3 linked regions of the Struthio camelus genome follow. The protein of the gene in region 2 interacts with the protein of the main gene of each other region in a pairwise test. Links are inferred from orthologs where the notes say so. Each region holds a gene or a part of one and is shown on either strand. Other genes may lie near its edges.

Region 1 (3,745 bases), on a different chromosome or scaffold from region 2:
TAGGAAAGGCTTTAAGACATGAGATTAAATTATATCTTAAGGCGGCAAGTTACGTAACCAGAGCACAACCTTGCAGCCTTCGCTCACATGAGTGAATCCACTGACTTAAGATGGAAATGAGACTGCTTCATGGCTTTAGTAGAACTACACAGATAGCAAGGGCTGCAGAATCAAGTATTACAGAAGAGAAATGTGACTACACCTTTCCCTCGCAGTGATGTAACAGGCAGTTAGAGAAGGCTAAGTGACATCAATATTTAAAGCCACGCTACCATAGCGCAAAAAGGCTGCGGGGATAGTTAGCCAGCAATGTCACAAAAGGATCATTTCAAAGATCAATGCTACGGGTTTTGCTACAAACGGTAGAGAGAACCATCAAACCAAAAAGCAGAATAAGGCCCCGGACAGAGCTGAGCAACAAAGACATGAGACAGGAGACTGCTACCAGCAGAAGGAGAGAGAAAGTGAGATTGGCTTGACACGAGCTAGAAAAGAGTTAGGGGGAAGGTAGGAACGAAACGAAAACCAGCTGAGACTACGAAAACAGCAAGTGCGACACAGTCAGCAGCACCCGTGGCCATGAGCACGTCACGCCGTCAGAACCGGCCCTTTTAGAGGGACGAACAGCCTGGCTCCAAGAGACGCGCAAACAGCTTCAAACGCGAACTGGCGGGGGCCCGCGGCTACGGCCGCCTCGGGCCCGGCCCGGGGGGCAGCGGGGCCCCGGGGGGGAGGGGGCGGCCTCACCTGAGGTCCTCGCGGACGGCGGTGCCGCGCGCCCGGTTGTGGCAGCGCACGGAGACAGAATCGCACAGAATCGTTTAGGCTGGATGGGCCCTCTGGAGACCATCTAGTCCAGCCTCCCCGTTCAAGAGGCCGCTCCGCAGGCCGTAGCGGCACCGCTGCGCCGCCTTGTAGGCGCGGAAGCGCTCCGGGAAGTCCTCGTAGCTCCTGAAGCGGGCACCGAGCTCCATGGCCGGGCCGGGCCGGCGGCGGCTCGGTTCGACCCGGTTCGGCCCGGCTCGGCCCCTCAGCCCGCCCGCCGCCATCACCGCCCCCGCGAGAGACCCGCCGAGAGGGGGCGGGCCCTCCGCGCTTATTTAACCCAGAGAGGCCCCGCCCACAGCCCGGATCCGACCAATAATAGGCTCCATGGCTATGATTGGCAGGAGGCTGTCGAACCAGCTCGGCGGTTTCGGCCCCGCCCGAGGATTGACGGGCAGGCGCCGGGGCGGTGCTTCCCGCTTCTCCGCGCGGCTGCCGGATGTCGCTGTTGAGCGGCGGCGGCGGCTGAGGCGATGGCGGCTGCCGGGGGCGCGGCGGGGCCCGGCGGGGGGCTGCTGCCGCCGCCGCCGCCGCCCGGGGACCTGCGCAGCGTGCTGCTCACCAGCGTGCTGAGCCTGGAGCGGCTGGAGCTCGACCTGTTCAGGTGCGCGGGGCCGCGCCGCGCCGGGCCGCCGCCCGCGGCCGCGCCGCCCTCACCGCCGCCCTCTCGCCCGCAGGGGCCGGCACCACTGGGTGCCCGCCACGCAGCGCCTCTTCGGCGGGCAGATCGTGGGCCAGGCCCTGGTGGCGGCCGCCCACGCCGTCGGCCGCGACCTCCAGGTCCACTCGCTGCACTGCTACTTCGTGCGGGCAGGTGGGCCGGGCCGGGCCGGGCCGGGGGCGGCGGTGGGGGGAGCTGCGGGGCCGGGCCGGGGCCGGGGCTGGGGGGAGCGCCTGCGGCTGGTGGGGGACCAGAGCGGGGCTGGTGCAGGGGATGGCTGAGGGCTGGGGGGGGCAGGCGAGTCCGGGGGACGGGGCGGGGGACAGGGGGGCAGGCGAGTCCGGGGGCTGGGGCGGGGGACAGGGGGGCAGGCGAGTCCGGGAGCTGGGGCGGGGGACAGGGGGGCAGGCGAGTCCGGGGGCTGGGGCGGGGGACAGGGGGGCAGGCGAGTCCGGGGGACGGGGCGGGGGACAGGGGGGCAGGCGAGTCCGGGAGCTGGGGCGGGGGACAGGGGGGCAGGCGAGTCCGGGGGCTGGGGCGGGGGACAGGGGGGCAGGCGAGTCCGGGGGCTGGGGCGGGGGACAGTGGGGCGGGGGACAGGGGGGCAGGCGAGTCCGGGAGCTGGGGCGGGGGACAGGGGGGCAGGCGAGTCCGGGGGCTGGGGCAGGGGATGTGGGGCAGGCGAGTCCGGGGGACGGGGCGGGGGACAGGGGGGCAGGCGAGTCTGGGGGCTGGGGCGGGGGACAGGGGGGCAGGCGAGTCCGGGAGCTGGGGCGGGGGACAGGGGGGCAGGCGAGTCTGGGGGCTGGGGCGGGGGACAGGGGGGCAGGCGAGTCTGGGGGCTGGGGCGGGGGACAGGGGGGCAGGCGAGTCCGGGGGCTGGGGCGGGGGACAGGGGGCAGGCGAGTCCGGGGGACGGGGCGGGGGATGTGGGGCAGGCGAGTCCGGGGGCTGGGGCGGGGGACAGTGGGGTGGGGGACAGGGGGGCAAGCGAGTCCGGGAGCTGGGGCAGGGGATGTGGGGCAGGTGAGTCTGGGGGCTGGGGGGGGGGAGGACAGGTGAGTCTGGAGGCTGGGGCGGGGGCTGGGGGAGAGGCTGGGTAGGGATGGGGGGATTGGGGCTAGGCGGGTGAATCTGGTTACTGAGGAGTTGGGGATCCAGGGCTGACGCTCACAGGAACGAGTAGGTGCCACCATTCTGGCTCCATCACAGAGGATGTGGGCAGCACTCCCAGCTCTGGGCGCAAACAGTTCAGCCTGCTGGGCCCTAGTGCTTGATCTGTGCAGACCAGGTCTTCTCTGTGGCATGTGGCTGCCCAACGGCAGAATAGCTCTTTTCTGTTCCAGGGGATCCTGAGGTGCCGGTGCTGTACGAGGTAGAGCGGACCCGCACAGGGAAAAGCTTTTCTGTTCGCTCCGTGAAGGCCATTCAGCATGGGAAGCCAATCTTCATCTGCCAGGCCTCCTTCCAGCTGGCCCAGGAGAGCCCTGTGCAGCACCAATTCACCATGCCTACGGTGCCACCCCCTGAGGAGCTGCTGACCCAAGAAGAGCTCATTCAGAAGTTCCTGGAGTGAGTGCAGAGGAAAGGGGCCACTGGGGACTCTTCTCTGCAGCTTGGGATTAGGGAGGTGCAGGGACAAAAGCAGATGGGGAAGGATTTGAGTGGCTATTTGAGGAGTTCTCAAATACTCTTGGGAGGGGAATAGAGAAATAGAACAGGGCAGGAGCTGTGCCGTTTCTGCTTTTCTGTGTGGCCCTGGATCCCTGAGCTGAAACTACTGCCAGCTAGACCCCTCCTAGGTCTTCTGCTGGATGCTTGGCATTAATGTCAGTGCTCTGTGTTGGTCTGAAGGGATCCTAACTTGGCAGAGAAATACAGAAAGCTTCTCAACAAGATTCAAGCCAAGGATGTGCCAATTGATATCAAACCTGTGCACCCGCCAGCTGTATTCTGCTCAGAGCCACAGGAGCCAAAGCACCTCTTCTGGGTGCGAGCACGAGGCTATATTGGTAGGTACTGCCACAGCGGTGGCCCAGCTCCCTCCCAAAGTGAATGCTCGGGCTCAGGCTCAAGCTCACAGTAACGCTGTGGGGCAAACTCATGACAGCGAGCTGAGAGGGTCACAATCCGCGGGCTCTCTGTGCCCCAGACATAGGAGGAAGCCTGGAGCTCTCAAAGCTGAAATACAGCTGTGGGTGCTGGGGCATGAAAAGGTGCCTGTTTGCCACGCTCAATTGCTGCAGGCTTTAGCCAAGG
Region 2 (3,745 bases):
GTAGCGTAATATTTCTACTGCTGGTACGTGCATAGGCAATTATAATCACAAACGCAGATGAAACTCTAAAGCTCTGTCTCCTTAAATGAAGGGTTAGCTAGATTTTTGTTTTGCTTCCATTTCAAACCCTTGGCTGAGTAGATGCGGGCAAATAGGTAATATAAGGAGCCTTACGTTTCTCTTACAGGATTGGTGGAAGAGTGTCAATTTTTGACATAGCTCATATTTCTTTGACAAACAAAACAAGATCTCAAAAGGACAGTTCTCCAGCAACTGTGTGTGTGTGTGTGTAGATTATGAAATAATTAAACAGTGCCACTTCACAAGTACATTGCTTATTTACAGAAATAGGGAACACTGAACAGACCTCCACTTCACTGCAGAGTGCTGATAATACCTTTAGTTCACGCAACCACTTTTATGTGTTTCCTCTCTACACAAGACATGATGACACTGATAAATAATTGTGGTGGAGATAATAACATGATTCTTAAATAGAGAGAGTGAGAACCAAGATAAAACGAAGTTTAATATTTAATCTCTGGAGGCTACCGCGTCACTGAGCTTAACTTTCCCACAAACACACCTGCTGTTAAGCGGTGGGTTTGCCTTCAATGACATTTGTTTCGACCGCAGTCCCCTAAAGATCATTGAGCCCAGAGTTCTAAAATACTCAAGTGCTCTTAACGGGTGAGAAAAAAAAGTCCTCTTAAGCGAGTATTAGTAAGTAGAGCGTGAAGGGAAATCATTGGTTAAAGCAGAGAGAGTTAAAGACTTGAAATTATTGTGTACTATAGCAATTTCACACAGCAAGGCTCTAGCTAGTTTTGACAGATACGTAAGGTATGTGGGTGTGTTGTGGGTCTGTTTAGCAGCTATGCAAGCATGTGTCTGTCTCCAAAGAAAGAAGATTATTAGGCACTTTACTCCAGTTTTGTCACCGTAACATCTAAAATAGATTTTTAATTTAATATATAGATATATGTCTGTATTTGTGATACGCTGTGTTATCTAGGGATGGAAAAGTGAGATTCTTTTCTCTCCTCGCTTACGTGATGGAGATGGGAGGCTAATGAATACCCAACAGTCACTCTTCTTATTGTCCACTGGACCGACCTGATATATGTGTTAGCATAAGTAAGTTTTACGTGTGAAAGTTGCATAGTCGTACACTGATGTGTGGGCTTGACTTTGTGAGGAGCTGAGGCATCTGATTGCTCTCTGCAGCCAGCTTTGCACGAATTCTAGGCTTTTTTGTTAATACTGTCCATCCATCCTCACCCTTTGCTGGATTTGCTTGTTTTCCAGAAGGAGAAAATATGAAAACTTATCTGAAGGATCTGAGAGGCACACGTAAAATTGCCCATCCTTGTGAGTAACTGGGGCTAGAGTAGTGGCTGAGATGTGTTTAATGTGACAGCGCAGGGTCTGTCTTCCGAAACTGACTTAAAATCTACTGGATGGAAGGTGATCAGTTTTGTTATTGCCATTTTGATAAAAGGTTAGAAAGCAACGTGAAACTGTCGTTCTCAGATTTTGCCACCAAATACAGCCTGAAGTTGAAATGCAGTTTGCCCTTCAAAAGGCATTCAGCTGACGGACTTTGGAAAGGCGGGTAGTGTTGAAGGCAGTGCCAGCATCAGAGCTCCTTTCATGTGCTGCCATTCCATAGCGGTCTGTAAATGTCTTCAAGTAAAACATACATACAAGTAAGAGCAAGGTGACAAGTTGTGTTCTTCTGATCGTGTAACACCATGATGATTCAACTTCTACAATATTTACTTTCCCTCTGTTATTTGTTTTTCACATGCCATCCCACTGTTGTCACTGTTTGACTGACTATCCTGTTGGCTGTTCTCAGTGAGATATGTTCGATACCTTGAATATATTGGCTGTCAGTAAAACATTACTTTAAAATAGCGAAACTCATGCTAAGTCAAAAGTCTTTCTAAACCTTTCATTAAAAACAGCTGCTGTCTCTCATTCTTGTCTGTCACATTTCCTGAAAAGCCTCTTTTGACAACTGCCCAGTAGTCTTTACTAAGATGTTTTCTGTGTATGGGGGATCCTGCAACCAGAAGCTAGCCCTGTGGGAAGTGGGCAGGTCAAACTGCAGTACCAGCAATCGTGTATTTTCTGAGACCCTCAGTGATGGTACTCAACCAGTAGCAGTGGGTGTGGGGGGGTTCTGTATTTTTTTTTCTGTTTTTTTTTCTTTCATAATTTGCATAGTTTCTGCTTCACTATAATGGGAACTAAATCAATCGATTCTGAGGAAATATCTTTACTTTCAGAGGCTATTCAAGAGAACATACTACTGACAGTACCTGTACTTTGAGAGGACAACCATTCCTAAAAGTGTATTGTAATTAAAAAATATCAACTGTTCCCTTGAAATAATGATTTTTTTTCTTCTGTTGTATAAAATCCTCTTTTATCAGACATAATTTCTTTTAGCTATTAGAGAATTTAAGTTCCAGGGGAGATGGGAGGGAGGGCAGAATCCTCTGCTGATTATTTACATGGCATTGATACCTGGACACTTCATTTTAAATCTGCTGTCCCCTCCTTACCCCTCACCTTTGGTTGCGTGTATACACATTGAAAGAAGAGTTGATTGTCTGACAAGGTAGACCAAATGAAATAAAGGTAATAATCAATAAAAGCATCTGGATTTTCTAATTCTTATGTAGCAGCTAACCATGTAGCTTGCCTTCTGCTGCTTTTTAGTCTCTACTACTAGCATTGAAAGTGTTTCATTTTTTTTTTAAAGGTGGCCCTGAACCCTACATTGAAATATTTGAACAACCCAGGCAAAGGGGAATGCGTTTCAGATACAAATGTGAGGGAAGATCAGCAGGCAGCATTCCAGGAGAACACAGTACAGAAAACAATAAGACGTTCCCTTCCATACAGGTAATACTACTTTTATCCAGGATTATCATTGCCCACATTAGCATTGTACTGTAGCTATGCGTTTGATTTGATGCAGTAAATAAAGAGGATGTTCCTCATTTCATGCTGTGCCAGTCTTTCCTGGGCATCCAAATGTAGTTGAAACAGATTGGAAAAGGAGTTCTTTGCTGCTGGTCATTAAAGATTTTGCTCCACATTTAGCAGAACAGAAGATGATGTACAGGTAGGTAACAAAGCACCAGTACAGAGGGAACTCAAAGTAATGTTACTCAGTGTTGGAGAATCATTTGTTTTTAGCTTTTTCTGTATGTTCGCATGTTCTGCTTTCTTAGTTTTGTGCCTTGGGTTTAATTTAACTGTTTTGGACTGTAATGTGAATTTTGGGAGGGCTCTGAAGGAGGCTGTCCGTGTACAGATTTTGAAAAGGCCAGTCTCACTGCTGGTGCAGCATGAAAGAAAGTACTCTGTAGAAAGGAGTAAAGTAAGAAAGTGACTTGCAGCCAGTGATTCAGTGATTAGTTTCTGCAACAGAAACTACCGTGAAGTATATGAAGTCAGAAGGGGATACAGAATTTAAAAAGGAGCTGAGAAAGGGGAATTATGTGGTCAGAGCACCTGCGGGTGAAGAAGAGCTGGGTGGTTGCATTAAGGATAGGTTGGGAAATCCAGAATGAAGGGATTCAGGCTAGTCCTGGCAGCTATGATCAAAGCAGAGACAAAGGTATGGACAGCGGAGGTGGATGGAAGTGTTTTGGAGATGTTGTGAAAGTTAACTGCCAATCTTGCTGTTGTTTCCTTTACATGTGGGACAAAGGAATGTGTCTGGGAA
Region 3 (3,745 bases), on a different chromosome or scaffold from region 2:
GCGTGGTCACCCACCCACAACACATTTCAGGATGATACATAGTGAAAATAAGTAGACAGATTCTTCTGTTTTGATTTTTGTTTGCGGTTCCTTAACTCAGTTATGATTAGGCTGCAATAAAAAGTATTGTTAGTACACAGATGCGTGTTTAATATAGCTGAATGCTCTGTCCTTGTGTAAAATATTCCTTAATTTAGGGCACGGACGTTTAGTTTCTTTTAGCAAAATACATTACTGTAGTACCATTCGGTTTTCAGCCCCCGTCTGGAGGATAAAGCATCTAGCTAAATGTTTCCTGCTTTTTAAAAAAAGTTAGTTTGTACAAGTTTCTAATTTAAATCCTTCCCTGCTCCTAAAAGTTGCTGCGAGTGTCTGCACTGTCATACGATGTCCTATTTAGGTGATAACAGTGCAAAGATAATCTTACAGCTCTCGAGTTTAGGTGAAATTGTCAAACAAGGGTCAGTACTGCTTTACAACAAGAGGTGCTTATTTTCGAGGTCTAACATTTTGATGGTAAGCCAAAAACCTGTAAATATCTCGAGCGCATTCGCAAGCTACATGCTTTTTGAAAACAAAATTTCAGAAATGAATATCGTGGTTTCGGGGGAGGGGGAGAGAGGAGTTAATAGAAACGATTTTTCTAATGTGTGAAATTAAAAAGTCCCACAGCTCTACTTCCACATTTCTTTACATTCCCTTAAGTATATAAATAACCACACATTTCCTCCTGATTTATAAATCACTTATTTCACTATTTTGTATGCATTCTACCATTTTCGCCATCATTATCTGATATTATGAAAAGAGAAATCTTTCATCAGCTCCAATAGTTAGCAGCTGGATGAGTTCCAAATCCTGTCTGCACAGCTACCCACTTAAAAATTAGGACAGAGGACCCTATACGATCAGAAATGAAATAGCTGGAAGCAATGCCTTGCCATCCGATCTAAAAATTCAAATATTTAAGCCTTAATTATGAATGAAAAGGCAAGTGATTCAGACTGAGCTGTAACTCATTCGGCTAGCTATGAATGTACATCTAAGGTACTCGATTCTGTGTAGCAGCTTCGAAATGAGAAAGGTCATTCGTCACAAACAGCGTATAAAGGAAAAGTACCATCTACCGCAGAACTAATAATCGAGAAAAGCAATGTTTTAACAGCATACTATAGGGGGAACAAAAAATAACTCTAAGCTTCAAATAGTAACACAGATGTGTTTACAGACCTGCTCTGAAATCCTGCTCACCTAAGATGATTTCTTTTCATCTCCTCTCTTCCATTCTTTGCCTCCTCCCCACTAAGTTACAAAATATTATTAAACTTGTAGCCCGTTTGACATTGAGGGTGATCCCCGACTGAAATAATGGTTTTGACCAGTTTTATTTCAAGTACGTCATTTTAGGGAGTTGGAGCCACTAAAGTTATAAAATATGGCATCCAACTACTTTAAAAAACACTCGAATTTCGTCCACCAGCCTGTTTAAAACGTTGTCTTTTTGGAAACCCGGGTCACGTAGGTAGCAGTGATGAAATATTTTCTCCCTCTCTGGATACCAACCTGCAGCGCAGTCCTCCCAAATCCATTTTGTGCATTGACGTTTACATTCTTTTGCAACAAATTAGTAAGTTGCACTAGGTCCCCCTTGGCAGCCGCGGACGCCAGCTCGTTCCCAGAAGGCTCGGCCATTCTTTAGGGTGACTGACGATCGGAAAAAGATGAGATTTTTTTTTAACCAGGCATGGCATCGGAGACTGACAGAAGGATTGGGATGGTTAATCTTCTGGAGTAGACCTTGTAGTAAATACTCGTAAAAAAACTCCTTGCCAAGAGCCCGCCCCTAACTCACACGTGATTATTCAGCAAAACTGCAGCTCCACTTGAAAGAAGATTTCTTCGCTTCCACATATAGAGTAACTCCTATTAAAGACTTTGGCCAGTTTAAAGGGAAATATATTAAAAGCTATGAAATATATGATATATGTTATATGTAACATATATACACGTACCCTGGAGCCTGAGTCAGCCCTGAAATCTTTGAAGAAGAAAACAACCCACCCTGTTCACAGTCGGGATGCGAGACTTAGCAGCAACAGCTCCGAAGAAAAGTCTTCTCTAGCGGCGCGCGTCCATGCCCGGGGGGATGCCCCCTGGCAGCCGGCACGGCCGCCTCCAGGGCGAGCCGCGCGGGGCGGCGGCGGGGCCGGCGGGCGGCGGCGGGGCCGGCCGCAGCGCTCGCTCCCTCGGCGCGGCGGCCCCGGCGCTCCTGGCTTCGCGCAGCAGCGTCGATCCCGCGTCCTGGCGGAGCCCGGGCGCAGCGGGCGGGCGCGGTGGCGGGCGGCGGCGGCGGCGGCTCCGGCGCATCCAGGAGGCCGGCGGGGCCGCGGGCGGCGGCGGCGGCCTGGCGGCGGCGGCGGCGCAGAGGCAGCCGCATGCCGCCGCCCGCGCTCAGGGCGCGGAGCCGCCGCGGCGCCGCCGGCGCGCAGCCGTCTCCGCGGCGCGGCCGGGCCCCGCGGCCGGCGCTCGGCGCTCCGCTGGGCGGCTCGGCGCTCCCCGGTGTGGTGGTGCCTCTCTCGCTGCCGCCGTCCCGAGCGCGCTGGCCGCGCCGAGGAAGGGGAGCGGTGTGTGCGAGCAGCGGGCGAGGAGGAGGAGGAGGCGGACCGGCTCCCGGGAGCGCCCGGAGGGCAAAGGCTGCGCCGGGGCAGCCGCAGCCCGCGCAGCAGCCGCGCGGGCGCGGGCGGCCCGGGCAGCGCGGCACCCCGGCTGCCGCCAACCAGCTGTGCCGCCGCCGGCCCCTCGGCTCGCAGCCTCCGGCGCGCAGTGACAGCAGCGGCTTTCCTTTTCTTTCAACTTTGCAAAATAAAGCTGCACTTGCCGGTCTGCAATCGCTGCCTCCGCCCGCGACTTTACGCTCCCCCTTTTTTAAGCACAAACAATCTCTACTTCTGTTTCCTACGGACACGAAGCCGGTTTCTTTTTTTTTTTTTTCTTTCCCCCTTTTTTTTTTAACCTCATCAGCTTTTTTTGAAAAGAAAAAAAATTTGAGCGCTTTTTGAGTTGAAACACCCGCCCACATTTTAACGGCAGAGATTTAAGGAGGCGCGGCGGAGTTGCGGCGCGGCCGGCGGGCGGGCAGGAAGGCCTGCACGGCGCCCGCCCCTCGCCCGGCCCCGCCGCGCAGGCCCCGGCTCCGGTCCCGGCTCCGGTCCCGCGCACGCTGCGCGCCGGGCGGCGGCGGGGCCCGCGCCGTGCGGGGCTCCCCCCGCTTGGCGGACCGGGCAGGGCAGGGACGTGCCCGCCGCCGCCGCAGTCGCCAGGTCGCTGGTTCAGAGGCTCCGCTGCCGAGGCCTAAAGCGGGAGCGCTTGAGCGCCCGGAGCCGCTGCGCCAGCGCGGAGGGCCGAGCCGCCGCGGGCAGCGCGCCCCGCCGCTCCCCCGGCACCCAGCGCCGCCGCCCCGGGGTCCCGCGGGCTCGCGGCCGAGCGGTGCCCACCTGCCCGCAGCGGCCCCGGCCCGGCACCGCGGAGGCGGCGGCTTCCCGGGCAGGGTCCGGTCCTGCCGCGGTGCTGGCTCTGCTCCGCAGGGACAAGGTCACGGATGAAGGGCCAATGTCAAGTCGCGGTAGCTGTGAGAGGCGAGAATGCAGAACAGAAATCTTTGCTGTTCGTGTTTCTGATGTTCTTGGTTAATTTGAAAGGGCCATTTTGAGGGGAAAAGGCACGTAACTACAAGGAAGACGTGAGG

The links.
Region 1: the proteins of REL (region 2) and ACOT8 interact in binary tests that used the Homo sapiens proteins (3 or more experiments, as listed by UniProt). The two-hybrid records come from large-scale screens. The link is inferred for Struthio camelus from reciprocal best matches to the Homo sapiens genes REL and ACOT8.
Region 3: the proteins of REL (region 2) and CDKN2C interact in binary tests that used the Homo sapiens proteins (3 or more experiments, as listed by UniProt). The two-hybrid records come from large-scale screens. The link is inferred for Struthio camelus from reciprocal best matches to the Homo sapiens genes REL and CDKN2C.

The regions. Positions count from the first base shown.
Region 1 is NC_090959.1:19,316,670-19,320,414, reverse strand, and holds the start of ACOT8 (acyl-coenzyme A thioesterase 8), read left to right. Parts: upstream 1-1,248; 5' UTR 1,249-1,298; coding exon 1,299-1,429; intron 1,430-1,502; coding exon 1,503-1,639; intron 1,640-2,832; coding exon 2,833-3,058; intron 3,059-3,340; coding exon 3,341-3,498; intron 3,499-3,745. UniProt on the Homo sapiens protein: Catalyzes the hydrolysis of acyl-CoAs into free fatty acids and coenzyme A (CoASH), regulating their respective intracellular levels. Displays no strong substrate specificity with respect to the carboxylic acid moiety of Acyl-CoAs.
Region 2 is NC_090944.1:131,633,337-131,637,081, reverse strand, and holds the start of REL (proto-oncogene c-Rel), read left to right. Parts: upstream 1-1,304; 5' UTR 1,305-1,319; coding exon 1,320-1,371; intron 1,372-2,773; coding exon 2,774-2,916; intron 2,917-3,745. UniProt on the Homo sapiens protein: Proto-oncogene that may play a role in differentiation and lymphopoiesis.
Region 3 is NC_090949.1:30,979,128-30,982,872, reverse strand, and holds the start of CDKN2C (cyclin-dependent kinase 4 inhibitor C), read right to left. Parts: upstream 2,208-3,745; 5' UTR 2,062-2,207; intron 1,705-2,061; 5' UTR 1,693-1,704; coding exon 1,564-1,692; intron 1-1,563. UniProt on the Homo sapiens protein: Interacts strongly with CDK6, weakly with CDK4. Inhibits cell growth and proliferation with a correlated dependence on endogenous retinoblastoma protein RB.